Rhinolophus ferrumequinum: one gene and its partners. The protein of the gene in region 3 interacts with the protein of the main gene of each other region in a biochemical or structural test. Links are inferred from orthologs where the notes say so. Each region holds a gene or a part of one and is shown on either strand. Other genes may lie near its edges. The genes, in order: NCOA6, TBL1X and THRB.

The links.
Region 1: the proteins of THRB (region 3) and NCOA6 form a complex in vitro, tested with the Homo sapiens proteins (2 studies listed by BioGRID). The link is inferred for Rhinolophus ferrumequinum from reciprocal best matches to the Homo sapiens genes THRB and NCOA6.
Region 2: the proteins of THRB (region 3) and TBL1X form a complex in vitro, tested with the Homo sapiens proteins (2 studies listed by BioGRID). The link is inferred for Rhinolophus ferrumequinum from reciprocal best matches to the Homo sapiens genes THRB and TBL1X.

What each region holds. Positions count from the first base shown.
Region 1 is NC_046306.1:20,472,592-20,483,044, forward strand, and holds the start of NCOA6 (nuclear receptor coactivator 6), read left to right. Parts: upstream 1-6,228; 5' UTR 6,229-6,361; coding exon of another isoform or gene 6,362-6,634; exon of another isoform or gene 6,635-6,642; intron 6,643-10,453. Other genes in the region: ejaculatory bulb-specific protein 1, read right to left, coding at 4,201-4,237, 4,453-4,535, 6,362-6,634. UniProt on the Homo sapiens protein: Nuclear receptor coactivator that directly binds nuclear receptors and stimulates the transcriptional activities in a hormone-dependent fashion. Coactivates expression in an agonist- and AF2-dependent manner.
Region 2 is NC_046284.1:119,929,147-119,939,382, forward strand, and holds the start of TBL1X (F-box-like/WD repeat-containing protein TBL1X), read right to left. Parts: upstream 4,416-10,236; 5' UTR 4,303-4,415; intron 1-4,302. UniProt on the Homo sapiens protein: F-box-like protein involved in the recruitment of the ubiquitin/19S proteasome complex to nuclear receptor-regulated transcription units. Plays an essential role in transcription activation mediated by nuclear receptors.
Region 3 is NC_046300.1:24,400,285-24,410,564, forward strand, and holds the start of THRB (thyroid hormone receptor beta), read left to right. Parts: upstream 1-6,077; 5' UTR 6,078-6,199; intron 6,200-6,215; exon of another isoform or gene 6,216-6,232; intron 6,233-6,548; 5' UTR 6,549-6,603; coding exon 6,604-6,641; intron 6,642-10,280.

The DNA of each region.
Region 1 (10,453 bases), on a different chromosome or scaffold from region 3:
CTTTTGTACATCAAGGGATACCATCAAAGGAGTGAAAAGACAAACCCCCCCGCCATGAGAAAAATATTTGCTACCACATAACTCATAAGGGTCTAGTACCCAGAATATATAAAGAACACTCACAGGTCAACAACTCAATTAAAACATGGGCAAAGGACTTGAATAGATATTTCTACAAAGATATACAAATGGCCAATAAATCTATGACAAGATGCTCAATATTGTAAGTCACTAGGGAAATATAGATCTAAACCACAATAAGATACCACTCCACATTATTATAGATCGTCTATAGTAATTTTTAAATCATTTTTAGAAAGGAAATAACAAATATTGGCCAGGGTATGGAGAAACTGGAACCCTCATACATTGCTAGTGGGAATGCAAAATAGTGCAGCCATTGGCATTTCTTCGATAAGATAAACAGAATTACCATATGACCCAGCAATTCCACTCCAAGATATATATGCCAAAGAACTGAAAACAAGTGTTCGAACAAAACCTTGTACATGAACAGCAATACGATTCACAAAAGCCAAAAGGTGAAAGCAACCCAAATGTCTATCAATGGATGAATAGATAAAATATGGTATATTCATACAATGGAATATTATTCAGCCATTAAAGGAATGAAAATACTGACACATTACAACAAGGATGAACACAGAAAACATGCTAAGTGAAAGAAGCCACACACAAAAGATCACATACTGTGTGATTTTATTTATATGAATTATCCAGAATAGGCAAGTCTATAGTGACAGAAAGCAAAGTAGTGGTTGCTTAGGGATGGGGAAGTGGGGGGAGGGTAGGGAGAAGGGCAATATCTAAAGAGTACAGGGTTTCTTTTTGAGGTGATGAAATTGTTCTAAAAAATTTACTGTGGTGGGGTGGCCGGTTAGCTCAGTTGGTTAGAGCGCAGTGCTCTTAATAAGGTTGCTGGTTCCATCCCTGCATGGGCCACTGAGAGCTGCGCCCTCCACCAATAGATTGAAACAACTACTTGACTTGGTCCTGATGGGTCCTGAAAAAATACACTTAAAAAAAAAAATTGACTGTGGTGATGGTTGTACCTATTGGTGACTATACTAAAAAACATTGAATTGTACACTTTAAATGAATAAATTGTATGGTATATGAAATATATTTCAATAAAGCTGTTTTAAAAAGACATGTACAAGAATAGTCACAGTAGTCCTATTAAAAATAGACCTAAAGTGGAAACTGAAATGCTCATCACCAGTAGAATAAACTGTGATATATTCAAATAATGAAATACTACGAAGCAATGCAAAGGAACAAACTACGCGTATATGCAACAATATAAATGAAGCTCAAAAACAAAATTGAGCAAAAGAAGCCAGACTCAAGAAAGTATAGTCTACATGATTCTGTTTATATAAAGTTTAACACCTAGCAAGCCTAATCTATGGAATTAGAAGTTAGGATACTGTTTACCTTCAGGGACATGGGTAATGACTGCAAAGGAGACTTGAAGGGGCTTTGGTGGGGCTGGTAATGTTCTCTTTCTTGATTTGGGAGTTGGTTAGATGTGTATTCACTTTGTGAAAATGCATCAGGCTTCATACACTTATGATTTGTGTATTTTTATGTCTTTATCTTATACTCTAACAAAAAGTTTTAAAATTTCAGAATATTTTTCAAAACAGGCTTTTAAGTTCTACGAATATTTCTCCTTTTTTTGTGGGGGGGGTCACTTCTTGATACTCTTTAATTTTTTTTCAATTGTGTTGTTAACACTCTATTTCTACTTTTCAATCTTTTGTTCCTAAGAGTAAGCCCATATTAAGCCGTTATACAAAGTAGAAGCCTTTATACAAAGTACTTTATATAAAGTAGACCCCTCTTCAAAGTACTTTATTTCTTATTGTCTGAAAATTGTTGAGCTGATTTTATAATAAAAGATACTTTACTGCCATCTGCTGGTAAATTATCACAATAAATTTATAATTATAATGTCTACCAGTGAATGGCACCCACTTAGATATGTCCTCCTGAAAGACACAATTTGTCCAACTAAACGTGGTTATCTTGTCGTTTGGAAATGTTGTGATGAACCCTGCAGAGAGTAAAATGGTGATGCTCTCTAGATGGTTAAAGATGTGGTTCAAGTATCCACTATCAATCTTTTTACTACAAAGCATAAGCCCATTTGGACAAACATTTAAACGTAGAAGTTCAATAAATGTTAATCAAATTGTTCACATCAAAGAACAATTGATTTGCTTTTTCTTTACCCAAATCTGAATCCAGAATATCTTGGATGTCTTAGGACTGCTTTTCTTGCTCATAACAAACTGTGAGTAGCCTGATAACCTCCTTAGAGACCTCTGTTAATCTGCTCCTTGTTGAGTCCTCATAAGTGCTCAGTACTCTTCTAAACATTTTACAAGTACTAATTCACTTAATCCTCTACTAATTCATTTAATCCTCTAATCCTCTAATCTGTAACGTACCCTTATTATCTGCACCTTACAAATGAGGCAACTGAAGCACAAAAAAGTTGTTATATTACAGGTGATGATATTACAAAAATACTTTCTTTGGGAAAGGGTACAGTCTATTAGGGACATAAAATAAAAACTACGTTAAGGATTAAAAAACAAACAAAATAAAGGAGAAAATACTTTGGACTCTGTTGGACAAGTCATTTTTCTCTGTTTGATCCCAGTTTCCTCATGTATATAACAAGAAGGTTGGATTTGCCCAAAGTTACATAACTAATAAATGGCAACACTAGAATCTGAATTTGGGTATTTTGGCTTCAAAGTCCAGTCTTGTAAGCACTATGCTATTGTTAGTGCCGTCTATGGCCTGTTTTTGTTCCTTTGCTACCTTCCTGTGGGCAACAAATATTTGTGTTGCCTATGCACCTGCTGTTTTCACTTATCAGATGTGTAGGTCCCCAAGTGGGCCCCTGTCTCCTAGCTCCCTGCATCCTTGCTAATCCCAGAAAAACCCATGACCTTCAGTTTAAGGACATTGATAACAAGGTGAAAAAAATGAGGACAGTGGCTCAGGTTCTGGCATATGTGTATTTTTTAAATCATGGCAAAAAATATATCCATACAACACAAATGTCGCCATTTACACCATTTTTAAGTGCACAGTGGCATTAAATACATTCACATTGTTGTGCAACCATCACTACTATCCATCTCCAGAACTTTTTCATTTTCCCCAACTAAAACACTGTACCTATTAAACAGTAACTCTCTATTCTCCCCTCCCTCCAGTGCTTGGCAATCACTATTCTACTCTGTCTCTATGAATTTGACTACTCTAGGAATCTCATATAAAAGGAATTATATAATATTTGTCCTTTTGTGACTTCCTTATTTCACTTAGCATTATGTCTTCAAGGTATATCCATGTGTGAAAATTTCTGCCCTTTTTAAGGCTGAATAATATTCCATTGTATATAAATAACTCATTTAGTTTACCCACTCGGGTTGCTTTCATGTTTTGCCTATGGTGAAAAATGCTGCTATGATCATGGGTGTACATATATCTCTTCGAGTCCTTGCTTCTACTTTTTTTGAGTAAATATCCAGAAGTGGAATTGTTGGAAAAGATGGTAATTCTGTGTTTAACTTTTTGTGAAACCACCAATTTTTTTTTCACAGCTGTGGCACCATTTATATTCCCACCAGCAATGTGAAAGGGTTCCAATTTTTCCATAACCTCACCAATATTTGTGGTTTTGTTTTTGTTTTTTTTTTTTAAATAGCCATCCCTAATGATTAATGCTATTGAATGCCTTTTCATGTGCTTATTGGACATTTATATGTCTTCTTCGGAAACTGTCTATTAAGTCCTTTGCTCATTTTTATTTAAATTTTTATTGGGGAATATTGGGGAACAGTATTTTCAAGGACCCATCAGCTCCATGTCAAGTTGTTGTTTTCAATCTGATTGTGGAGGGCACAGCTCACTGGCCCATGTGGGAATCGAACCAGCGAATTTGGTGTTATGAGCACTGCGCTCTAAACACTGACCCAACCAGCCACCCTCTTATGCTCATTTTTAAATTGAATTTCTGTTGTTTTATGAGAACCACCCCCCTTTGCTCATTTTTAAATTGGATTTTTGTTGTCCTACGAGAATCTTGTAGAATCTTTCAGAGCTTTCTTACCTCTAGAAACTTTCATGAGATTTGGAGGTGTGTATGATGTCATCTCAACCTGTTACCTGGCTTCTGGTAGGACCCTTGTTTCTGCAGGATAAAATAACCAGAGTTTCTCATTTGGTCTTTCATATTAATTAATTAACCAAGTAATTCATTTATTGTATCATTATCTAAAGATACATGTCAGATTGCATATACCAGATTTCCAGGTTAACACAAAAGAGTACATGCTTGTATGTTTATATGAAGTTCAAGAACTGTCAAAATTGATCTAAGGTGCTAGAAGTTAGAATAATGGTTACCTTTGGGGGAGCCAATATTGACTGGGAGGGGTCGTGGGAGAGAACAAAAGAAACTTTCTGGGTTGGTATTTCTGTAACTTGATCTGGGTGGTAGTAACACAGGAACATAAGCAAAAATTTATTAGGTATACACATAAAATGTTTGCATTTTGCTTTATGTAAATTATACCTCACTTTTTAAAAGTTAAAAGAAAAATCTTTTAAAAAACTTTTTTTCCAGGCTCTTTTTGTAAATCCTTTTGGTGTTAATTTCATAGGCTCAAAAGTCTAAGGTGCCCCCTTGTGGCCGCGTGTGGTTCTCTTTATTTTTCTCTGCCCTCTTGGGCCCAGCACTTTGTGCTAGGATTCATACCTACAACAAATATTTATTGAGCGCCTCCTCTGTGCCAGGCACTGTGTTATGTGCTGAGGAAACAGAAGTAAACAAAATGGACAAAGTCTCTCTTCTTATGGAGTCCACAGTCCAGTCAGTGGTAAAGACGGAATAAACAACTTAGTACATCCTATCGAGAACAAGCAAGAGAAACCGCCTGGGAAGTGAGTGGTCAGGGAAGGTGCTCTTGGGGAAGAAATGTGTGAGCTGGTATCTGAGGGCTGATGAGTTATCTAGCAGGGAGAGCATTTTAGGCTGAGGGTCAGCATATGCCAGTGTCCTGAGAAGGGGGAAATGCAATATGTGAAGGAGATCACTGTAGTTGCAGTCCACACAAGGGAAGAGGGCCCTGAGATAAGTCTGGAGATGTGGGAAGAACAACAGTAAGACATCTATTTGGTCTTTACCTTAAGAGCAGTGTGGAACCATCAAATAGTTTCAAACAGGGGAGGGACATGATCAGATTTCTGACTTACTGACATTACTCTGACAGCAGGGTGGAGAATAGATTGGAGGGGAGTCAAGCACACAGTGTGTGCTCAATAAATATTCGTGGAATGAAAGACTCCTTTTCTTAGATGAGACCAGTATTCTTGAGCTTTGCAATCAGTTTACAATCCATCTGCTCGTCTTCTGTCTTCTGTGATGCTTCTGCATCACAGAAACAGACCCTTAATTCCCATTTTACAGCTGATGAAACTGAGGTTCAGAGACAAAGAAAATCACACAGCTACCAAGAGTGAATTGGTAGCACCCCCCCTCCCCCATAGAGAGTGGATAATCCTGGGGGCACCTATGTCCTCAGGCCCGTAGGAATTATACGGTCTTGTAATTCAGCCCCGCGACTCCAAGGACTGCCCTTGAATCCAGGCCTGCATGACAGACATCAGGTCCGGTACTGGAGAGGCCTTCCTACATTTGAGGAGCAGGGAGGGCACCTACTGAGCTTGCTGGGGTGATGGTGATGGGAAAAGACAGAGAAGAACTTATAGGCAAATAATAATAAAGGCTAAAGGTTATCTTTATCACCATATGACACTATCTGTCAGGCATTGTACCAAGTGCTTTCCATGCTTTCCTCATTTCCTCTTTGGTATTATTATCCCCGTATTTCAGATGGGTCAATTGAGGCTTGGAGAACGGAGTTGCCCAAGAACACTCAGCCAGAGGGCACCTATAGGGCTGCACAGTGACTCTGAAGTGGGGGCAGGTGCCACTTGCGATATTGCAGCTACAGGAGACAGATCCACCCTGTCTGGGCCCTAAGGTCTGCACCCAAGTGAGCCGGTGCGCGCTCCGCCTCGCGCGCTCGGGGACGTTTGGTCACGTGACCAGCCCCACCCACCTCTAGTCCGCCCCGCCCCGCCCCCTCCCGCACTCCCTCCCTCTCTCCCTCCCTCCCCCTCCCTCCCCGGCCCGGTCCGGCCCATCCCCCTCCCCGCCGGCTCCCTGAGGCCCTGCCGGGTCGGGCTGCTGGCGGCCGGGCGCCGACGGCCGAATAGACGGGCGCACGCGAGGACGGACGGACGCACTCACGGAGGGCCGCGGGCACGGACGGCCCGGGCCGGTGCTCCGAGGCCCGCCCGGGAGGGCTGGGGCCGCGCTCAGGTGAGGTGACGGCGACGCTGGCCCGTAAGGGGTGGGCCCGCCGGGCGTCCACGGTCCCGGCCCGGCTGGCGACGCTAGAAGGAGACGGCGCCCGGGCCTGGCGCGGGAAAATGGCGCCGGCTGGCCGTGCGGCACGGCTTCTGTGCGGGCCTGGCCGGGAGCCGCCCCGCCCGCCCGCCGGGCTCGTGTCCCCGTCGCCATGTTGGGGAGCGGGCCCCGGGCCGGCGGGCGGGGGCGCTGGAGGGAGCGGAGGCCCGGCCGGGTTGAAGAGGGTGTCGGACGCCGGGTCTGGGGCATTGAGGGAGTGCAGGGCCGGCCGGGGTCTAGACGCATGGGGTGGCGTTCCAGGTCCAAGGAACTGGCGGGAGCCGGACGTGGGGTCGTGGCCAGGGTCGTGGACTAGGGATACTAGGTCCAAACGGAACCGGGGTCGGGGTCTGTGGGACTTGGGTGAGCAGGACCTGGAACTGGGTTAGGCTGTGGGTGGTGTTCAGGACCCCAGGGCAGGTAGGACCCCGGAGGGGCGTGGGGTCCGAGTTCAGGCTGTCAGGGCTGTGGCACTTCTTTGGGTGAAGAGGAAGGGGTTGATTAGAAATGGGGGCTCTTTGGGTACAGACGCAGGTATCAGATTGGGGCAGTCCTTGGAGTCGCGGGGCTGAATTACAAGACCGTATAATTCCTACGGGCCTGAGGACATAGGTGCCCCCAGGATTATCCACTCTCTATGGCGGAGGGGGGTGCAACAAAAAGGGAAGAGTTTGATAAGGAAGAGAAAAAAGGGAGACTGCAGTTGTGTGCAGGAGCTAGCCAGCAAAAGGGGTGCAGAGAGTGGAACTGGTTGGCAAAAAGAGAAAGCCTCCATCAACTTGGAGAGTTTGTGTGTGTCTTTAAAAGGAGGGACCGGGCTGTTTGTGGGCGGTGACCCAAGGTGTCTTCCCTGGAAGGGGACAGCCCACTGTTTTAAGAGCTGGGTCACCTGGGGAGGTCATCAGAAAGAAGTTATTGAAGCCAGTAAGAATGGTGAAGAAGGAATGAATGTGTAAAAACGACAGAGGCCTTAGAGATCATGTAATGATTTCAGATGATGTAGTGATTTTAGCTGAGACATGGAAAGGTAAAGTTGACTTCTCAAGATCTTAAAAGTTAGTAGCAGAGGGTGTTACTGGAACTCAGGTCGCTGCCTCATTCAACATACTCCTGCCTTAGAGGAATTTGCTAGCTGGGAGAAAAATGTTAACAAGTCAAGCATGGCAGTTTATATCAAAGAACTCTTAATTTATTTTGTTTCTGTAATCAGTTTGTCACTTCAGAGACTCAGAGGGATACAAAAAAATGTATAGGTAACCAGCTATTTGATAATTTCTATTATAGCCCATCTCCATTTGTGCAAAGAAGTTATCTTCAGGGCCCTTTTGACTTCTAACTTTCTCAAGTTTTAAGAGATGCGCCTTCTCTTCTAGGTGTTTACTGTACAGCAAAGGGGCACACACACACACACACACACACAAACTAGAAACAAAACAAAACTGAACAATGGTAGAGATCCAGGATCTCTATCATGATCAAGCTAATTGAAGTTTGATCAGAATAGAGAAGAGTTCAAAGTTCACATGGGTTATGGGAGAGCTCTGAGGGAAGGTATGCAAATCAGTCATGAGACATTATAGGGCTCCCATATAATCAAAAAGGACTTTCAACAAAAAGGTTGCGAGGACATTCATAGCAATAAGATTTTCGATATTCAATATGTATATACCATCCATATATAAAGCAACATGATCCATTTGTTCTGGGTCTTTCTAATGCAGGAAGGCCTAACCTTGTGGGTACCATGGGGGGATGGAGGGAGGAGAGGGAGAGGGGTGTCAAAGATGAGACTGAGAAAGTTGGTCGGAATCTGGTTGTGAAGGACCTTGCTAAGGAGTTTGAACTGGATCCTTAGCTGATAGGCATTCAAGGTCTTCAAGGAGGGGACTGGATGATGAAGTTTAATTTTTAGGAGATAAATGGATATTCTTCAGGAAGGTGGACTGGAGAGCAGGGAAGAAGTAATGAGGGCTTGAACAAAGGCAGAGGCTTTGAACATTGAACAGCATTAGAATTTTCAGGTGTTGATAATTGACATTGTGAGTGATGAGAAAGGGAATTTCTCAGATTTTTAGTGTGGGATAGTGGCTGTCAAAGAGATTAAAAAAATATAAAAGGAAAATGAGGTGAGAATTGTCACAGATAATAAGGAAGATGTTTTTTGGTAGAGTCATAAAGACTTTTGGAAACCATTGCAAAGCTGTCAAATGCGGTGTAGTTTTTGCTTAAGGAAATCAGAGGTAAGTGTTAGCAGACATAAAAGGCAGGGAAAATATTCCTAGAGTGTAGGGAAATCACAGCTGTCTATGTTAGGGGTCCTCAAACGATGGCCCATCAGTCAAATCTGGCCTACCACCTGTTTATGTAAATAAAGTTTTATTGGAACACTGGCACACTCGAACATATTGTCTTTGGTTGCTTTGACACTACCAATGGATGAGTTGAGTGGTTGTGACAGAAAATATATAGCTCACAAAGCTAAAATATTCACTATCTGACCCTTAACAAAGACGTTTGCCAGTCCCTGATCTAGGTGTCTGCATGTGGATGTTCAACTTCTGGTTTGCCATCCCAGTTCCTATACGATAGAGAAAAACCATCTAGGCTCTGTCTTTCTGCCTGGGTCCCCCATACTCTGTGTACCTGAGGCATGACATAGACCCCTGAATATTTTATATTGGTCAGTGATGCCAAGGTCTGTTTTGGGGTCTGCTGTGTGGCAACTGTGATAGTGCCAGGTTTTCAGAGCTTAGACCATGCTGGGACTTGTTTTGCCATTTTTCTATTGGGTTGTCTTTTTCAAAAGATTATATTTTCTGATTATTAATCCTTTGTTGGTTACATGTATTACAGGTGTCATTTCCCAGTTTGTTGCTGATCTTTTTAATCTCTTTTAAGTTCTCGTGTTAAAAAGTCCTGAATTTTAATAAAGTCGAATTTATCAATCTTTTCCTCTCCCAAGATTTTGAAGTTATTCTTTATATTATCTTCTTGAGTCTTTACTGATTTATTTTTGATTTAGATCAAATTGGCTCTCGTGTATGGTGAGAGTTAGGGCCAAGTTTCACTTTTTTCCCCCTTATGTATAATTAGTTATCCCAGCACCATTTATTGAATGGTCTCTGTTTTCAAATTGTGAGCTCTTTTAGTGGAGTCTGAGGTCCTAATTCCAGCTCCACTGCTTGCTAATTGTGTGACCTTGGACAAGTTGCCTCAGTTTCCTCATCTTTAAAACAGGATGATAGTATTTATCTCATAGGATCGTTGTGAGGATTGAGTTAATTCATGTAACGTAGAACAGTGTGGGACCTAGAAAATACTTGATAATGTTAGCTGTTATTTAGTACATTGTTCATTTCGGATTCCCAGCACTAAGCTGAGAGTCGATATACTGAACACAGTCATAGAATTAATTTGGTTTTCAGGTCAAAACAGTGGTTGAGACCAGGCTAGGTACTGCAGGAGATGCTTCCGGGTGGGTGGTCGATTAGTTTTAGTAACTGTAGCCTTAGACTGTCTGCTGGGATGGAACTTCTACCTCAACACTTCTTTTACGGAGAACTTCTGTAGCACAAGATGCAGCCTGTGGTTGAATTTGACCTGCAGACACCTTTTGTTTGGTTCATACAATTCTCTTAATGTCTTAAAAATTTATACAAATTTCAGATTTGTCAACACCAAGCCCATATTCTCTCATAGGACTACATTAAAAGCCAAAGCTTTTAAGTGGGATGTGTGTTTCCTGGTTTTCTGTGTAGTCCTCACTACTCACTTGCTTTGCTCATTTACTTTTATCACTCTGTAGGCATTTAATTTTCTGGTTTTTACTTTACTGAGGTTTTAAATATTATCTCTCCTAAATCAATAAATGATTGGGATAGGGTCAAAATGGCCAGAAATTGACAGATGAGTTTGTGGGCAGGTAAAAAATAA
Region 2 (10,236 bases), on a different chromosome or scaffold from region 3:
AAAAAAAAAAAGTTTATCTTTCCAACTTAAGGAAAAAAAAGTGTTTACAAAATGACTGTAGTCTTCCTTCCTGGTTGAAACTGTATTTTAAAATGCCTTTGGTGGCGAAAGATTACCAAGTGATTGGATGTAGCGTACTATTTTTTTTAAGGGGAGAGGGGTGAATTCGAGGCATGGGGAAACCACAGCTGGGACACTCTCACCTCACACAGCAGAGCAACTGTGACTGTCGCCAGGCCCAGGGTTCGGCCTGGCAATGCCGTATGCGTGGGGCCTGGGGTCTGGACACCCCAGCAGAATGCAGGGATGGGGACGGCCCCAGGTTTGAGCTGGGTGTTTTCCTACCCACAGGTGACTGAGACTCTCAATTCCTGACACTCAGGACCTGCGTGAGATGGCTTTCCTGGGCGCAGCCTGCCTCGGGAGGGACCCCCTGGCAGAGAACTGCAGGTGTCCCAGGTGTTCAAGAACTTCCAGCCCAACATTGAGAGCTCACCCACCGCAGGGCCCTGAGAGGAAGCAAAAGTGAGCGCCAATGACAGAAGGCTGATACGGGAAGTCACCTCACTGACAGACACAAAATGGGACTTTTCCCCCACCCTCATTTACAAATAAAATGTCTAACCTGTTGCTATAAAAAAATACAAAGAACTATGCAAACGACACACCAACTAAGTAATAAAAATAACATCCTGACTCAGGGACCGGGTGTACAGGAAACAGTGAACACTCAGACATTTTTTTTTTTTGAAAAAGAAAATACTTCGACTATTGTGAAGTCTCACTTTGTTGGAACGATTCCTTGCCAGCCTTTCAATACGTTAAGACTTTGACCTCAAGCGACTGAGCCGTACTCCTTAGTACCTGAACTTCAAGGGGCGGGTGGTAGCCCAAGGTACCCACAGCAAGCAAAGATTTGAATATATCAGATGAGCCTCTCAATCAGCCACACGGGGACTCAATGATGGTGACACCAAAGGCTCCAACCAGCCCAAGGGATATTCACCACCAGCCGCTTAGGCAGGCACATGGGGACTGATGCTATTTTTTCAGATGGGAAAACTGAGGCACGGAAACGTTGAATTCCTTGCCCGAGGTTAAACGTTCAGACGCTAGCTCGCGTTCTGGTTTTCTGATTCAAAACTGATCCGAAGCCCCTCAATCTAAAACCCATAGCTGTCAATTTCAGGTGAAGAATCCATTCACTGAAATCACTTCCCTGGGTCAATTGCTGGCTGAAATGGGTCTCTCTCTTTTAAAAAAATATACCTGTGACTTATTTCAAACGATTTCTCCTCTCCCCTCACGAAAAGCACACTGACTCTCTTGTTTTATTGCCATTGTAATAACTACAAAGTAGGACCCTCACACAGCAGTTTCTGGAAGTTCTGTGCTATCCAATATGGTGGCCACTAGCCACAGGCATCCACTGAGTACATGAATTGAGGCTAGAATGACCAAAAGGGACAGAGCCGTTCCTTTCATTGAATTCTAATCGACCCTCATTATGCACACGTGACTGGTGGCCGCCACATTGGACAACACAGCTAGAGAGGAAAACAGACGGTTCCTGATTCTATTGAGAGATGTTTATACGTATACACAGATTTCAATGTAGATTCTCGTTTGTGAGTGTGTGTGTGTGTGTGTGTGTAGACTCGTAATTTAAACAGCTTTTTTCTCCAAATGGGAAAATTCACCCTAGGTAGTCAGGAAGGCAAAACAAAAAAAGGCCAAGCTTACGAGCTGGGCTTTGGGAATCAGACAACCCTCCCTCCACGACTATGTATTGCCAAGTTACTTAACATCTTTCAGCGTCCTATGCTGTGGCATGGAACTTGCTAGTATAGAGTTAGGCCCGGGAATTCCTTGGGGCATGGCATTCAAGTCGCATAAAGACAACTGTTCTCTTTGCACCAAGACCAACAGCTAACATTTACAGGCCGCTTTCCATTCCAGTTCACATACATTCTCTTCCCGTCCTCACACTGCCTAGTGAGTACAGCGATTTCAGTTCTCCTTTGTATTTTTACACACAGAAAAGTAACGCTCAGCAAGGTGCAGGACTTCCAGAGCCACGGTGGAGCAGGAACAGGGTGGACTCGTTCAAATCACACAGGGATAGCCAAATGTCACTGGTCATGATGCAGTTGGACTCCAGGACCCTATTCACCACTGTGGGGGCCACAAAGCCCATTGAAAGTCTCCTAACAGGAGGCAGACTCATGATGTCATCACACAAACGGAACGCTGAAGCTCCCAGAGATACAGATGGGGGTCCAGGCCCAGAAAGACACCAAACATTCTCCTTACCCAAGACGCCCAACCTTTCAGGAAGGGTGGGGTTTGGCAGATTTAGGGATCCACGTGTGACATTTAAATGGGGGTGTTGATAGTTCCTGGACTGACCGAGCCCTGGATAAAAGCACAAGAGTCAATCCTAGAGGATTCGCAGACACGTGCGCTGCTCTTGGCGAGTGGCCCCTTCCCACGTCCCACTGTCCCCTAAGGGGGCCCACCTTGCTCCTGGTGTCCCTCTGGGCCTAGCAGAGTATCTTATCTGGGTACATTTTTGAATAAATGTTTATCCATCACTAAAAAAGGGGAGGTACCTCCTTACTAAGATACTGTTGTACAAAATCATGCTACGGATACAACTGGTGAAAGCACCCCAGATTTTGAAACATTCACTTTTGGGCATCTTCAATAATACGGTGATCATTATTATTGTTGTTATTTTGCAAACAGTTTCTTCTTTAAAACTACTGGCAGAGGAAAACATCACTAGCCCACTGAAGGGGCAAATGTACACCACCAAATAAACCACCAAAAATCCCCATTTCTGTCCCACAGGTGTGTGTACACGGAAGAGCTGGAATCCCCTTGAGGGGCTATTTTAATAAGTGGCTCAAGTGACGAACTTCAACTTTTATCCCTGGATTATTTACCCAGCTGGGTGGTTTTCCATCAAAATCTGCAGCACATTTGACACATAGCGTCCTTTAAAATAAAAGCGTCATCTTAACGTCGTAATTGTTCCATACTCCAACATTTTTTTTCCCCCTAAAAGCATCTTTTCTAGGAATGACTAATTCTAAACTTTTCCTAAAATCGTCCAGAGCCATTTGTACCCCAAGCCACCGCTGGGGACCTCAGCAGGGCGTCCCCCTCCCTCCAGGTTTGGAGTCCCGCCCCTGCGCTTCCAGGTTAAACCAGGGACTTGGGCGGCGCGTCAGGAGAGAAAAACATCCAGAAGTCAGGTCAAGCCACATGTGACAATGCAAAGCAGAGACAGCTGCAGATGCGATAGGGGCTGGGTGGGTGGGGGTTTTGTTGTTGTTGTTGTTGTTGTTTTTTGGGGGGTATGATCCACAACATGACCTCCGACTCTAACTTTCTGGAATTTGCCATGCAGTTGTGCGGGAAAACCCCAGGCCAAGCGAGGAGCGAGCCCCGGCCCGGGCCTGACCGCGCACGGGCGACGCACGCGAAGTCCAGGCCCCAACCCATCGCGGGCTGGCTTCTAGTGACCCCCAATTGTCACATGCCCGGCAGCCACCGACACCCGAAGACGCACCCCCACCCGGTTCCGAGGACGGGTCCCCAGTGGGGAAAGTCCCTCCGGGAGCAGGGCCCGGGACGCGAATCTGGGGTCACCCCTCCCCCTAGCCCGGGAGCAACAGGTCTGCACCCTCCCCAGGCCGCGCTTTGCAGACCCCGCCACACCAGGGGCGACCCCCACACACCGAAGTCGCCCCCAGCCAGGTCCTCTCGCTCGGGCCGGGGGGTGGGGGGGTTCTGACTTCCTTGACAGTTTCTGCGCCTCGGAAACAGAGCAGCCGCGGGGCCTCGCCCGGCACTCACTCCACGGCGCGCCGCCGCGCGGCCACCCGGTCCGGGGCGGGCCGGCCGGAGCCCGGGATGAATGGGGCTCCCCTCCCCCACGGGGGAGCCCGCGGCGCCGCAGCTTCGCCCACCAGCCCCAGGGGCGGCAGACAAAGGGGACCCGGGGGCAAATGGAGCGCCTCCCCAAACTTACCGGCCGCCTCCCACTCCCCAAAACAAAGAAGCCCCCCCACGCGCCGGCACTTTGGGGAGCGGCCCCCTCGGGGTATTGTTCAGCCTGCAGGGAGCGCGCCGCACCCCAACCCGAGCCCCGGGGACAGTTGGGGACCTGCCCCTCCAGAGCTCCGGCTGCGGGCGGAGCGTGCGGGCGCCCCGAGCCGCCGGCCAGGCCCACCCCCGCCGGAGAAGTTTGCGCCCCCCCGCCCCGCGCCCGCCGGCCGGGCCCCGCGCACTCACCTCGCCGCGGGCAGGGCAACTTGTGGGGCGCCGCCGCGCCGAGCCTCCCTCCGGCCGGCCGTCGCCGAGCCGGGCCGAGCCGCGGCCGAGGAGGGCCCGGCGCCCCGGAGCAGCCTCGCGCCGCCCCCGGGCCGCCCCCGCCCCGCCGAGTCCCGTGAGGCGCGGGCGCTGGAAAGTTTCGGTGCCGAATGGCGGCCGAGGGCGCTGCGGCGGCGGGGCGGGGCGGGGGCGCTGGCGGCTCTCGGCTCCCGAGCGCGGAGAGTGGGGGGGCCGAGGCGGGAGCGGCGGCGGCGGCAGAGGGCGGGACGGCGGGAGGGACCGGCACGGGCAGTGACCTCAGGGGGGAGCGGCCGCCGCCAGAGCGCCGACCCCGGCCGGGAGGACTGCCAGGGGGGCCGCCTCCGCCGCCCCGGCCCGCCCCTCCCCCAGCCCCCCACACCGGGGGAGGGGCACCCGCGTCCCCTCCGGCCCCTCCCCTGCGCCCTGGGGGACCGCGTCCCAAACCAGACCCTCCCCCACTGGGGGTAGGGACGCCGGGCCAGCCCCTCCCCCACGGCGGCGAGGGTGAGAGTCCGCGCCCCAGAACTGCCCCTCCCCCGCGGCCTCTAGGGAGGACCCGCGTCCCAATCCAGCCCCTCCTCCACGGTGGGGGAACCTGCGACCCTGCAACGTCCCTCACCCCAAGCTTCCCCTGCCCCCACGCCTAGGGTGGGTGAGGGGAAACCGGGCCTTTCCCTACAAGCTCTGAACCCAGTCCTTTCCCCGTGGCCTCCATAGGGAGGAAGGGAACGCGGTCTACCCCCACCCAGTCCCAAACCTCAGTCTTTACCCCACTGTCGGGGTGGCGGGGACCGTAACCGGGGCCACCACCCCCGAGGTTTCTCCATAGGGGAAAGGAACCCGGGCCGGTGCTAGAGTGTTACCCTCCCCCACCGCAAAAAAGAAACCGCCCAGTTGCCCTAACAGAACCCTTGTAACCTGCCCCAGGGGGCATGTCCCTCAAAATCCGCGGCTTAGAGGACACCCCAGTGTTCTCTCCCCCTCCCCAAAAGGTGGGGGCTCAGGTGGAGCCCTCAACCTTTGCAAAAACAGCTACAGGGAAGGGCCAGAAACGCGTGGGGAGAAAGAAACTCAGACACACGGAGGTGGAGGCCAGGAGCTGGGGTGTGGGGGTTCCGGGAGTTGGGGGGAACCTCCTCCCATCCTTATCCCCACCCCCACAAGCAGGCTTCAGACCTCCCTCGGGCATTTCCAAAGTGTTTTATGTTGCAATGGCTTGCTTGGCCCAGCCCTGGTGCCCCCCAATCCCCAGCGTCCCTTCCTCCCCTCCACTTCGGTGACCACTACCCACCCCACGCGGCCTTAATTCAATGAAATAGATACCCGCGCCCACCCCAAGCACCTTCAGTGTCTGCTTTGTTGAATATTTTAAAATAAGTGTGCCCCTCCCTTTGGTGTACACTGAGCTTCCCGCTAAGAGCCCAGTACACTCAGCATTTTAAAGTGTAACCTCACTTGCTCTTTTCTGGGACACTGGACCATTTGTTGTTCTGGTGGCCGAGGGAAGGGGGCCGGAGGTGAGCTTTTAAGGGGCTGGTCCTCCATCAGAAAGGCGGACCTAAGATTTACCCTGCCATATATTGCTGTAAAAGGTCAATGATGTAAAACGACTGTTGCTACACCATTATTATAGAGCACGTCAATAAAAAATCCACACTTACACAGTCTCCATAATTGTGAATCAGCAGAATAGATTGTGTCTTATTACGTATCAGTTGCCATTCAAGACCACCCCCAAAAGGACGTGGTGGGGCCTTCCCTCGAGCCTGCCCTTCGTTGCTCCCGGACTCCCTGGGCTTGTGCGGGCTGATGCTGAGAGGTATTACATGCAATCGAAAAACCGAGGGTGCAATAGAAAACCCGAGCGAGCTCATGATGCAACCCTGCCCCGGTTACACGTGCTTCCCCTCCCCCACCGCCTGCTGAGGGTAGCGCGGCGTTTTTTCCGCCTGTAGGGTCACATTGTGGTTGATTGATTCTCCTTTCGCCTGGCTCAGTCATTCAGATTTGGAAAGTAAATAACAAGTTGACATCATTACAGCTTTCGGCTTTACCCGGACGCGGCCCTCGGCTACCGCAGTCTCTCGAGTAACCGCGCAGCCAAACTGGCCCTGTCTGGCTTACCGGCTCTGCCTGTCTTTAGCCGCTTGGAAATTCCAAACTGAGCTTGGTGAAAGGCCTCTTGGTATGTTTTGATTACTTGGCAGATGCCAATCGTTTAAAGTGTGGGAAAGGGATGGAAATCCTCGCTCCAAACTATGACCCAGTGTGACCAGTTTTTACAGCTGTTCTTGGGTAACTAGCAATGCAGGTGAGCTCAGAATCTGCCTCGCCTGTTTGATAATGTCCCAATAATCCCAACGGTCTTCTTGCAAGTCAGCAGCTTAGTGCTTTAATCGTAGACTCAAAGGAACCCCACCCTCTCACCCCCATGGGACTTTGTAAGACCTCAGACAGGAAGAGACAGACTTATGTTTATCGTAATATCACCGAAATTCCTCTTTCTGAAATGCTAGATGGTGGTAGGTAGGTGGTAAATTAGACTACTTTGTTTTACTCTGTTTTGCAAATTTTGCAAGGGTGCAGTCCTGTAAGATGGGAGAAAACAAGGAAAGAGGGAAATAAATTAGAGCAGGAAAGGGACTAGTGCTTTCTGATAAAAGTAAATATGAGGTCGTGAACAGCAGTGATTTCTACAGGTAGACACAGCACAATATCTGCGTATTAAACAATTACTTTTCCTTGCTGACGGGAGGGAGCCGGAGTATAAGAATCTGCTTGCAACAAATGCTATCAGCATTCCCCTTAAGCAGTAGCCAAAATGTTAATTGAAAGACAGGAGGAACCCACACCAATATATTCAAATAATCTCTGGCAAAGTAGCAAAGGAATTTCAATGGCAAAAGAATATCCTTTTTAACAAAGAGTGCTAGAAAAACTGAACATCCATATGCAAAAAAAAAAATAATAATCTAGCCACAGACCTTCCACTGGTTTAAAAAAAAAAATTAACTCAGAATGTAGAAGGCAAAAGTATAAAACTCCTAGAAGATAACATGGGAGGAAACATACAACACCCAAAGCATAACCCATGGGGAAAAAATTTGATAAGTTGGACTTTATTAAAATTAAAAACATCTGCTCTGCAAAAGACACTCTTCAGAGCATGAAAAGATAAGCCACAGACTGGGTGAGAATATGATATTTGCAAAATTCGTATCTAATAAAGGATTATATCCAAAATATACAAAGAAGTCTTAAAACCCCACAATAGGAAAATAATCCAATCAAAATAGGCAAAAGAGCTGGGGAAAAAACACACAAAACACACCCAAGAGAGATATAGAGATGGCAAATCAGCATATGGAAAGATGATAACCATCGTATGCCACTATCGTATTGCACACGATAACAAAACACCACCATACAGCTATTAAAATGGCCCCAGAAAAGGTTTTCAATGACAACACCGAAAGGTAACAGCATGCACTCTTTGCTGGTAGGAATGCAAAATGATATGGCCACTTTGGAAGACAGTTTGGCATTGTCTTACAAAGCAGGCAGTCTTACACAATCTAGCAACCATGGTCCTAGGTATTTATCCATCTACATGAAAAACATCCACACAAAAACCTACACAGGAATGTGGATAACAGCTTTACTCATCAGCAGACACTGAAAGCAACCAGATGACCTTTGGTAGGTGATGGGTATGTCCACTGTGGTCCATCCAGACAATGGAATATTATTCAGCACCAAAAAGAAATCAGCCATCAAACCAAGAATGGATATAGACAAACCTTCAATGTATGCTGCTAAGTGAAAGAAGGTGATCTGAAAAGGGTACGTGCCATAAGAGTCCCACTCCATGACATTCTGGAAAAGGCAAAATTAAAAAGATCAGTGGTTACCAAGGGTCCTGGGAACGGGAGAGAGGAAGGATGAATAGGCAGAACCCAGGGGATTTTTCAGGGCAGTGAAATATTCTGTATGATCCTGTGATGGGTACGTGACGTTTTGCATTTGTCCAAACACGTAGCACTGTACAACACAAAGAGTGAACTCTAATGGAAACTATGGGTTTTATCAATATCGATTCATTAATTGTGACACCTGGGCCACACTTAGGAAAGATGTTAAACTGCAAACGGTGTATGAGGGGTGTAACAAGGAAACTGTGCACAGAAACTCTGTTCTTTAAAAAATTGTCTTTTTAGAAAAAAGGTCGTAGGAAGGGGTATTAAAGTTATGAGAGTTCTTGTGCGACTTACTGCCCAGTTTTCCTTGAATCCAATATCTGATTTCCCTCAGGCCTCAAGACCTTAGAAAACAGCTGTATTTGGAGCTACAGCCTTTCATGTTGGGTAAATAAGTTAATGCGGTCGTTAGGATGAGTCCCGATGCAATGTGACCAGAGTCCTTACAAGAACAGGAGACGAGGACAGAGACAGGCACAGAGGGAAGACCACACAAAGACACATGAAGGAGAAGGCGCTTTGCAATCCAAGGTGAGAAGACCTGAGAGAAACTTCCTGCCTCCAGGATCGTGAGGAAATAAATTTCCGTTGTTTAAACCACCCAGTCTGTGGTGCTTTGTTACCGCAGCTTTTGCAGACTAATGCACGTGAGTTGTTGCTATGTTTTTCCATTTGGAATGTTACCTTCCGTTCACATCATTAGAATCCTGAAAATACCTTGTATTTGGGATGGGGGTGTTCATGCACCGTATTGCATTTGATCCCCCCAGTAATATTGAAGGGCAGGGACTTTTTTATGTCCAATAGTCAGAGGAGAAAACTGGACCCAAGAGGTTAAAAAGTTAAGGGGGTGAGGGAGTGGTGATCATGTTTATGCTTCAGACCCTCTTTGTCAGCTTAGTGAATACTGTTTCTAAATGCATAAAATGATACATGAAATATATTAAATACTACATAGGACTACAAAGAAATACATTTCCGTTAAAATAGAGTTATCAAATCTTTCAAGAATTCTAATTAATGCAAGCGCTTCTTCCTCAGTACGTAGTTCCAGTGGGAAGCTCTAGAGGTGATTCCTATCTTTTCAAAGTAGGGATGAGGGTAAACAGAACCTGCTTCAACTATAGCCTGCTCTGAAAATATATCAGACTTTTCTGTCGTTGACAAATTGGTGACAAATTAAAGACACTGTAATGCCAGAGCCACTCATCCTCTATAGTCGTAGTTGTCGGAAATGCTGCATTTCAGTGAGTGGTTAGTGATCGGAAAGCTGCCCCTGGAAGTTCATCCACCACCTGGAATCTCTCCCTGGGGCCCTCCTGCCAAGGGAGAAATTGCAAGCTGGAATCCAGGGCCCTCTGTTGCCCCTCTCCCTGCCTGGTTTCATTCATGCCACCACGATGGGTCCCTCCCAAGGGACGTGGGACACCAGGGTGGGGCATGTTTAAGGAGGTGCCCAAAACTCAGTCGTCAGGATACATAATGTCGTAATGCCATTTGTTAATACTTAAAGTATCAAAATGTTAGATGAAGACGGGATCTGACCTTGCCGTTCCAGGCACTGGGGAGGAGGAATTAACCGGCAACATTGCCGGGTCGATGGAGCCTCTGTTCCAGGATGGGAGTAAGCAGCTCGCATCTCTATGTTTGGGCTCCCGGCAAGCTAAGGATACATTTTTAAACAATTGGAGGAGGGGGGAAAAAAAAACATCAAAAGAGTAATGATACTAAAAGAAAGAATAATGATACTTTGTGACATGTGAAAATTATATGAAATTTGAATTTCAGTGTCTATAAATAAAGTTTCAGTGCAACGCAAACACACCCACTTGTTTTGTGCTCCCAGAGATGTGATGGCAGAGTTAAGTGGCTGAGACAGACCCCCCCGGCCCACAAA
Region 3 (10,280 bases):
AAATTTATCTAATGGCTGACAATTAAGATTTAATTTAGAGATGTTTTCATATTTTTACCTTCCTTTCCCCCATTCACCTTTGTCTCGATGCACTTTAATTCATCAACATTTTCATTTTTGCATAGGTATTGAGTGTGTGGCTTAGTTCATGGGTGATGATTTGTGGCTGCAAGCAGAGATTATAATTACTACCATAGTAGTTTTGAACACTGATTATTTTTATAATTTTCGTACTTGTGATACTGGATAATATTCACTCAAGTTAGACTTTGTTTGGTATTTTATTTGTGATAACTGTAAGAATGAACAAAAGTTAGTAAGTGCTAATTGCCCATGTTCTACTTGCTCAAAATTGTGCTTGCATCTCAGAGAGCTTCAAAGAATGATTAAGAGATGATATATGACCAGCAATTCCACGCCTAAGCATATTCCCAAGAGATATGATTTTTATAGCTGCTTTATTTGTAATAGCCTCAAACTGGAAACAACTGAAATGTCCATTAATTGGAGAATGAATAAATTGAGGTGGTATATGATTGAATATCAAATAGAAATTGAAAATAGAACTATCTAATCCACACAATAACGTGGACCTATCTCAAAAACATTCCATGGAGTGAAAGAAACCAGATACATGAGGGATACATTGTGTGATTCCATTTATATGAGGCTCAATGAAATAAATGATATTAGCAAAGCTAATAAATGGTGATAGGAATCAAAACAGTATTTACTTCTAGAAAAGAAGTGGTTATGAACAGAGGAAAGGTACAGATAAACTTTCTGGATTGCTGGAAATGTTTTCTATCTTGTTCGGTGTGGTGATTACACAGGAGTATAAGAATATAAACATTTATCCAACTGAACACTTAGGATTTATCTATTTTACTATACATAAATTACACTTCAATTAAAAAATTATTACTCTGAACATTTTTAAACCACATTTTGTTCTGGAGCTATGTCCATATTGGTGTGCCTAGGCCTAGCAAATTATTTTAACAGTATCTATTTAAAGAAAAGATGATTTATGCTCTGATGGAGTTTGGCTTGGCTGATGGGTATGTTGGCATAACACTAACTACTGGAACAGATAAACTTTCATATTTCAGTGGCTTACCACAAAAGAAATTGATTACTCAATGACTGCAACCGTTCAAGGTGAGTCTTCTCATTCTCTTCCACATGGTGACTAAGGGACCCAGGTTCCTTCCAGCTTATGGCTTACTAGTTCCTGCCCACGGGCCTCTGAATCTTCTACCTCTAGTTGGAAAACAAGGGAAGAGAATGTAATTAAGGAATTTTCTAGGTTTCTAGCTGGTAACATGAGTGTTTCATTTCAGCCTTTTCTGATTGTCTCAATGCACAGCAGCCCCTTAAGCGAGGAACTAGGGAGATGTCTCGTGCTTCCCAGAACATGCTCACATTTTCCAGCCCCATGTGCCTGCCCCATCACTCCTTTTCCTGCACACAGATAGCACGATGGGTGGTCGAGAGTACAGCCTCTGCCACCACAGTGACTGAGCCTGAGCTTGAACAAATTAGTTGACCTTCCTATGTCTTTGCTTCCTCATCTGGAAAATGGAGTGCACAAAAATACTGCTTCACAGAGTTCTTGGGCAATTTTTTTTTTTTTTTAATGTGTGAAATACTTAGGATAATACCTGGAACATAATGCATGTTTAATAAATATTAGCTATATTATATACTGCTTGCTATAACTGGCCATGCCAGAATGTCTGCTGTACCTCCAACATGCGCTAGGCTTCTACCATGACAAAGGACCCAGTTCCTTCTCCAGGGCCAGCTGCTTGGGCGTGCAATCTGTGCAGATGCACAGGGCCCCATGCTCAGAAGGGTCCTGTGCTCCAGGCCTGGCACTTAGTTTAATGCTCTGTTTCCACCATCATAAAACTCATTCTAATTTCGTCTTTGAACTTGTGTTTTGTAAGTGACATTTGATGGGACAATGGAACACGTGCATGAGCAAAGGCGATACACTCAATATATATGCTCACAGCTGTTCTTTGCTGCTGCACTCATATACAGCATTCTTGATGTCCCTTGAGCACAGAATTCCAGTGGCCTCACGATGTGTGAGAGGTCAGCAAAACGCAAACTGTGTACACGGTAAGCACGTTACATCTATGACTCAGTAAATGCGAGCACTGACAACCCCAAGAGGCCATGCTTTCCATTCCAACCAGAACTTGCTTTGAATGCAAAAAGAAGGCAACAACCAAGGAACTCTATCATGTGCTTTCTTACTAGTGTTACTTCCCTGTATTAGCTAACCTTTTACTATGAAAATGATGACATTGAACGATAAGGCAACCCATAGTTCCTTCTCCTTTCCCCATAGTTCTTCCTTACTCGTCAGTAAGTCAGAGTGTTGGTAGAATGAGCACATGTCAAGAAGTAAAGTAAAAACAGTTCCATTAGTTTTGTGCTGTGTTTCCCCTGTTCTGATAAGAACAAAACATATGTGCATATATAAACTCAGAATACGTATTACATACTAGCTACAAAATACAAATTGTGTAAGTTTGTTGATTTCACATGAGTTAAATGCTCTTATATTTGCATTTAAAACTAACATTGCATGATGTAAAGATGAACAGTAAAATTGATGCTAATAATTTTAAGTATTTATTTTTCTATAGTTACAATATTAAATAGCAAATAAAAAATGCCATGATGATGCCAAAGAGGGAACATGGAAGAAAGGAGATAGCTTTACATATTGTACTTTTAATGGCACTTTTTTTCCTGCTTTTTGAATAAAGGGCCCCACATTTTCATTTTGCACCAGGCCCTGAAAATAAGATAGACAGCTGCATCTTTCCCTCTCTCTGACTTCCCCCAAATTTTCACCCCGCTGTCTTCTGCAGGAAGTCTTACCTGAGCCCCTCATTCTTCGTGGATTATTGCAGCCTCCTCACCCGGAATCACCTAGCAATTTATGTTTCTATATTTCTCAGTACACCTTCACATTTAGAGTTAATTTTGAACATGTCATCTCCCCTAATAGTCTGTCTTTCCTGAAGGGAAGGGACAGACTTGGCATTTTTATCTGTCTGGCCATGGACCAGAATCATTGGGACCTTCACAAAATATATTCCAAGAACTAACAATGAACAGATAGAATCAGAATCTCCAGGGCTGGGTCATTTGGCTGCACAGCTAGCTTGAGAAGTTGAACTGAGTTGTTCAATGAATGAAAGAATACCAATTGTTCCAGGACCTGAAATGGTCATTCCTCTTGTTCTAACACTCCCTGCTAAAATCTGGTCTATTCTTGATGGACTGTTTCAAGTGCTACCTAGTTCTGTGAAATCTCTGAGTTTCACTCTCACCTCACCCCCATCACCCATTGTACCCCCTAGAATAAAATCAGGAAACAAAAATTGTGTGTTCTGTTGGCAACCCTTCTTTACCATCAGAGGGCCAAGTCAAATGGAATCCTAGTAGTTCATGCTGTTTCAATAATGGTGCATTAAAATTTTCCTCCTCCATTGTTATAAAACATTATTGCAATCATAGTCTCATGAATTGTTTGAATAATACCACATTATTTATTTAATGCTTAATTTACTCTATATTTCAGAAGTTTCCAGGCAAAATGAGATTAGAAAGACAAAGCCATTTGAACAAAAGACAGCAAAAGGATTTGTTATACTTCATTCTCTGTATTTCTCTGGTGTTTCCTAATTAAGATGGAATTTAGCTCCAAGATATACTCAGGAAGAGAAAAAACTAAAAAGGTCCAGCAGCCTTTAAGGCCTATCATCCACTTTTGTAAAGGAAGATTAGCATCACCCCTCACACACCACCACCACCACCACCACACCACCACCAGCAGCACCACCACCACCACCACCACCACCACCACCACCACCACCACCACCACCACCATCTCCTCTTCCTCCCATTATTACAAAGTTGTTTACCCGCTCCCGGCCCCTGTGAAAACGCGGTTGTCAACTGTTGTGGCCTATCAGAGCCAGGCTTTTTCCTCAGTGGCCAACTTTTTCATTCACACTTAGCCACCAGGGGGCCCCCTGTTTGGAACAAATGGTGCATACTACACAGTTTTCCTCCAAACCAACCAAAACATCCCGGGGCAGCTTTGGCAGAAAGTTCAGGAACTTCCTTGCAAAGGCGAACAATTTCTCTCCAGCTACAAAACCTTCAAGTCCTATGGTCTAGCCTTACGACGAGTAAAGAATGAAACACGGATTTATTGCCAAAGACCGAGGAGAAATAGGGTCCATGGAGTCTAAAGGGAGAGGCTCCTTTCTCTAGCTAGGGAGCCTTAGGGTCTGCGACTTTCTCTGGAAGCGCGCTGAAACTGTGCTTCAGGCGCCGGGAACAGTTTCCGAATTCCTGACAGTTGTGATGGTTAATGCTGTATGCAGGAGTGGTGGCTTCTCGCCCTTTTCCGTGGGATACTCACCAGAAGCTGAAATAAAACACACGTCACTGGCTGGCAAACTAGAAAACTCTCAAATAAATCATTCATACATTGTTCGGGCAGTTGAGGATACATACAAATCTGTCACATTGTTATATGAATAAATGTGTACAGTGAATAATGAAGTCAGAATTCTTTTAATATTATCTATAAGAAAATAACTACTACTCTGGTCAAAATAGTTTTGTTGCAACTATAGCTTCTCAACGACTTCATTTTAGCTTTTGGGGGGTACTCAGTAGTTTTATAAGCATTCTTCTGGCCCAGAATGTAGCTGCCTATTTCATTTTCTATCAATCCATGGCCTTCAATGTGTTTTTTGGGGAATGGGGGGGGCACTTAGAAATTCCTATTTGCCTGGGCAGAACTTTTCAAGAGTATAAATTATTTTTGTCTTCAGTTTTATTTGTACATGTCCAGGGTAAAAACAAAGTAATAGGGTAGCCCTTCTGGAACCGGTGGAGGGTCAACCACGGCACACATCTCCCAGGATATGCATAATAGTGTGAGGATGTCTCCATCAAGAGCAAGCCAGGTATTTTCCAAACTTCCAGTCCCGAGAGGTGGTGATGGTAAGAGAACGCCAGACGGCGCGGCCGGTGGGAGGCCCCAGGAGGGGCCAGGGCGCTGTGTCGGCCCCACAAGCGCCACAAGTGGTTTGGAGAAAAAGGGAGGAGCGCAGCCCGGCGGGGCAAAAATAAAGCCCCATACTTCTGGAAGTCACCTCCTCTCCGCCCCACCCCCACCCACCCTCACCCCTGTCACTTGTCCCCCATTCCTTCCTCTTTGCCTGTTGAGGAATGACGCCCAAACCTGAACCTCCGCGCGCGCGCCGCTGGGTGGGTGGACGCGCGGCCACCAAAACCACCGCAACATCGCCACACAGGGAAGGGCACCCTGGGTGGAAGGCACAGCTGGGACTGGGAGGAGGGAGAGCAGCCGAACCTGGGGAGGCAGGTGTGGAGGCGGGCAGCCCGAATGGTGTGTGCGTGGACGCGGGGCAGGGGTACGCGAGCCCGGAGGGCTGGACAAGTCAGAGAACCCGGCGGGAGCCGGGCGGGATCCGGGAGGGGCGCGTCGGGTGCCAGCCGGGCGGCGGCGGCGGGGCGTGTGGCCGGGAGGCCATTTCCTCGCTGCGCCCCTGGCGGAGCCGGGTTTGCCTGCTCTTGGCCGCCGCCGCCGCCGCCGCCGCCGCGCGAGTCGACCGCCGGGAGGGCTGGAGGGGAAACCAGGTCACCGGTTCGCAGAAGCGTCGCAGAACGGGTGTCCCGGGATCGGAGTAAGGCAGCGCCCGGGGAGCGGGCCGGGGCGGGCTGGGCGCGCGGGGGGCCGGGAGAGGCGGGGACTCCGGTGCCCGGGCCACACTCGCTTCCTACGCCTATAAAAGTGGAGTGGCAGGGGAGGGCTGACGCGGCCCTGGCGGCGGCCGCCTCTCTTCGCCCAAGGAGTTGACATTTTGCAGGACTCGCGCGACGTCCCGTCGCCGCGCTCCGCGGGACCCGGCCGCCCGGAGGAGGGGGCGGAGGAGGGTGGAGACTGTGGGGCTTGGCCAAGGAAGGCGCACATCCTCGGGCAAGCGGCCGTGACGCGGCGGGGATTAACTTTGCATGAATAATGTGAGTGCGCTTAGAAAGGAGACCTTCTGCTCCCCGGGCTCGGGGCAAGCGCCCGCCGGCTGCCTTCCCCCGGGCAGGGGCGCCCAACCCATCTGGCTCCAGGGCACTGGTAATTTGGGGAGAGGACCAAGCAGAGGCGGAGGTGCGGGGCGGGGGTTAAAGGGGAGAAGGGGGCGACAGATCCAATGTCCAGAAGGGTGGGCAGGACGGTAACCGGGGTGTCGCGGGAACCTGAGCGCGCGCGGGCGGGCGTGGGTGGGTGGGGGTGTCAGCCGCCCTATTACCTGCCTCCGCGGGGTTTTTGCGCCCCGGATCGGGAAAGAGGTGCCCTCTCGTGTTAGGGCACCGTGCGGCAGCTCTCAGGGAACCAGAGCGTGGGCAGTGGTAGAGCAGGGTGGCCGGGGGCCGCTCCAATCGCGGTGGCTGTGTTCCTCAAACCCCAACCCGGCTGTTGACAGGCTCCTTGTGAAATGGAGTTTGGCATCCTCAGCGCCGAACCGAGTGGAAGTTTCCATGATGAAGAAGTTCTGTGACACGGGGGTTCGGAAAAGGTTGGCAAACACGGCGGGGGGAGCGGTTTAAGGGGGCTGTAGGCCCCCCATCCCCCTTTTTTTTCCTGCCCCGGAACTGCCGGGTTTGAAAAGAATAATCCTGAATGTTGGCGTGCGCTGTTACCGGTGCCTGGCGACTTGGCTTCTCCCCGCCTCCTTAGGGAGTCGGTGGCGATTTCGTTAGCCTCCTGGGTCGCACTTCTTTGCTTCTCTTGACGCAGCATCTTCCTCTGAGTCGCTTGAAGTTGGTTCTGATACCAGGAGTTGTGCCAGCTGTGCGCTCCCCCCACCCCCGCGCCATCCTTCGGACAAGGACTAATTTGGGGGAGTTTTTTTACTCCTGGTGGATTTTGACCTTCTTAACTGCAGTTGTCATTTGTAGGATTTCCCAATGACCATTGTAGGATTATTATTAGTGCTAATTCTTAAGCCTTCCGATTTGTTGGGGGGAGGGGTAGAGGTGGGGAGCGTGGGGTGAGTTTTTTATTTATTAAAGGTTAAATGTATAATTTTCTCCAAAGGGGAAATTTTCAAAGGTCTAGACGCATAACAATTTGTAAAAGTGAATCAAAGCAAGAGAAAAGCACTTACCTGAACAGAGAAGTTTAGATTCTCCATCCTCCCTGCTCCACAGACATTTGGAATATGTGAAGATTCAGACACTACCCCAATTAGTAAATAAATTTGAAGCAGTCTTTTCCTCTTAGCATGTTACTGGTCTCAGGTGCTAGTGAGATTCAGTTTTAAAGACCTGTTCTGAAGTTCAAAACCATAAAGCATTCCTTGGACAGTATTAATATTGGAGTACAGCAATTCTTATAATGATCAATGTATTGGGTAATGCAGACCTTTTGGTCAATATCTTTACATTATTTTGCCTTATTTTAGTTTAGTATGCTTAGTTACATTGTAATAATATATAGCATGCACTGGTTTACAAAGTAAAAATTGCTATTTAGTCAAAATATTCCATGATTCATTCTGAATATTCACCATGACTGCTCCCTAATTCACTTCTATTTACCTCTCTTATTCTGAAACAAGTCAGGGACTAGGAAACTTTTTTTTTTTAAAGGTGTTTTGATGAAAAGTAGTTTGAGTAATGGATGCTTTTAGGAGTTTTCATACCACTTGGCTAAGTGTTTTGACTCTAAAAGAAATTCAATCGTAACTGATTTGTTTGGGGTTTTACATGGGAAGTCTGTGATTGTTAAACAGATACTATCAGAATTTTATTTTTAATGAATTTCAAAGTTTTGTTATACATTGGAAGTGGGACCATCTGCTAGTAAATATGATTTGCTTTTATTTTTCGGTGAGTGAAAGTAAATGATACTGAATATAGCCACAGAACTATTCTTTTTTGAAACAATTCCTGTTGGCATTATAATTCAAAGACATAATTTTATTGATATTGGAATATTGTTTTATAAAGTACTGAATTTACAAGAGGAATAAGCATTCATTTCTCCCCTATGGATTCTTTGTAGCAAATTCTGCTATAGAGATAAATTAAGACAACTTCCTTTTAATCTACGTTTTTGGGAGAAGGTGATTTCTTAAAATTTCCTTGAGAAAGTGGTGGATTCCTTTGCTTTCCTGAGGTTTTTGCAGTTGTTTGAAGCTCGGGGTGTGTGGAGTCACAAATAGGATTTCATGTTTCTTTTTTTAGTAAGCTCATCTTTTTTATGGAAATCAGAATAAAAACATTGGTTTCTTTACCTCCTTTTGTCATTCTAGTGTAAGATTACCTGTCAACTTCTTTAAAAACCTTTCCCTGATAATTTGAGCAAAGTTAGTCCCCCACTCCCTCTCAGAACCATCACACCATTTTTTTGTTTCCTTTTTTCCCTTTCCTTCATCTTGTTTACAATCTGAATTGTTCATTTCAGTTGGTACTTACTGATTACCTGTCTCCTGTGTCTAGAATATAGAATCCATGAGAAAAAGAGTTTTGACTGCTTCTCCAGCATCTTGAATAGTGTTTGGCACACAGTGGGTTCTGAATAATTTTTTTTTGAATAAATGAATGGTTGTGCCCAAACATTATGTTTCCCAAAGTACCTGACTAAGCTTCCTAAGTGGGTACCAGTTGGGTATGCCAAGATCTGTTCCTGTGTATGTGTGTGTGCCATGTATATATGGTTCAATCTCAGTATCTCTCTCTCTCTCTCTGAAAGCTAGCCCTATTTTGTATAGTGACAATACAGAGAGTTATTTCTGCAAGTTTTTTACCTGGGGGCATTTGCCTTGAGTACACAGAAATCCTCAGCAGCAGTTTGTCTTACTTTGATTCTCTGAGACTTTGACCTTCAACACTATGGGTTTCAGCAGAATTTTTATGAGTTCCAGAGGTATTGTCAGCGCTAAGAGTGAAATTCCAGGGAACAGACATCACTGGGTGATCGGAATGCCTTGTCACTTAGCAGGTTCTGGCAGTGTCTTTGGCAGCCCTAAGGTGACCAAGGACACTTTGTGGTATAGCTGGTCTGCAAAAGTGGTGGATGAGGAAGGGGCAAATGGGACTGTCAGGATCCCACACAGGGTAGAAATAGCCCTTGAGGGTCAGTTTGGAAATAACCTGGTGGTTCGCCTGTGTTGTAAGTTAAGTCTGTCATCCTCTCCCTTTCCCTCTTTTCCCACTTCCATAAACGGATTTTGACCAGACGACTATGGGAAATACTGGATTATCTGTGTTTTCAAGTGACAGAGGTGTGATACCCAAGGGGTTATCTTCAAATTAGCTATTCATGTAAATTCTTTTGACAGTTGAGACTAACAGGAAATTACAATTGATAATTATGGTCATTTGTTTTTATTTTTTAGAGTATCAACTTTCAGAAATATGGCTGAATAAATGCATAGTAAAAAATTCCACAAAACGATGAGACTGGTAAAAATGATAAGAGAAGAAAAGTTTAAAACCTTATAGAGGAGCAAAGATAATTAAACTGAAATCCTAAGTGCGTATTGCTTTTTAAGTATTTAATTTAGTTCTGAGCTTCTCTGTAGCCAAGTTACTAGAAAAAAAAGGAGAACTGGAGGTGGCAAGTATGTATTCAAGTTGTAAGGATAGATCAGATAACATTTGTAGAGTGCTTATTATGGTACCTGACAACTAGTATATACTCCTATGAAAGATCAAATCATGTAATGGCCAATACTTGAACTTCAATTCTATAGAAAATGAAGTAGGGTTCTTTATATGATTGTGTCTTTTACCAACCTTAGAGGGGAAAAAATGGAGAAAGCATAATAATGAAAAGTAACCCAGTGAGAGTTAATCTTTGGAGCCTGATCTGCCATGGTCCAGCGGTAGAGATTCTAGAGATTGTCCCCAAAGCAGAAATAGAGCTCAGAAAACCTAGAGGAATGAATGGTTAACATGTTCTTTAGGCTGACTTTCTCAAATATCCACAGTCTCAGCCAAGCTTTTGACTAGAGCAATCTGAGAGGACAGGACAGCCAGGTACTTGAAAATGACACTATGGTCATAAACCTCTCTGAACAGGTGTCCTTGATGATTTGTGCTGTCGTCTCTATACTTCACATCACCCTGCAGGGTGGTTTGTTTTTAGTGACCATTTCTGTCTCCCCCACTAAATTGTCATGAGGGGGCTATGGGTTGATTCATCATTG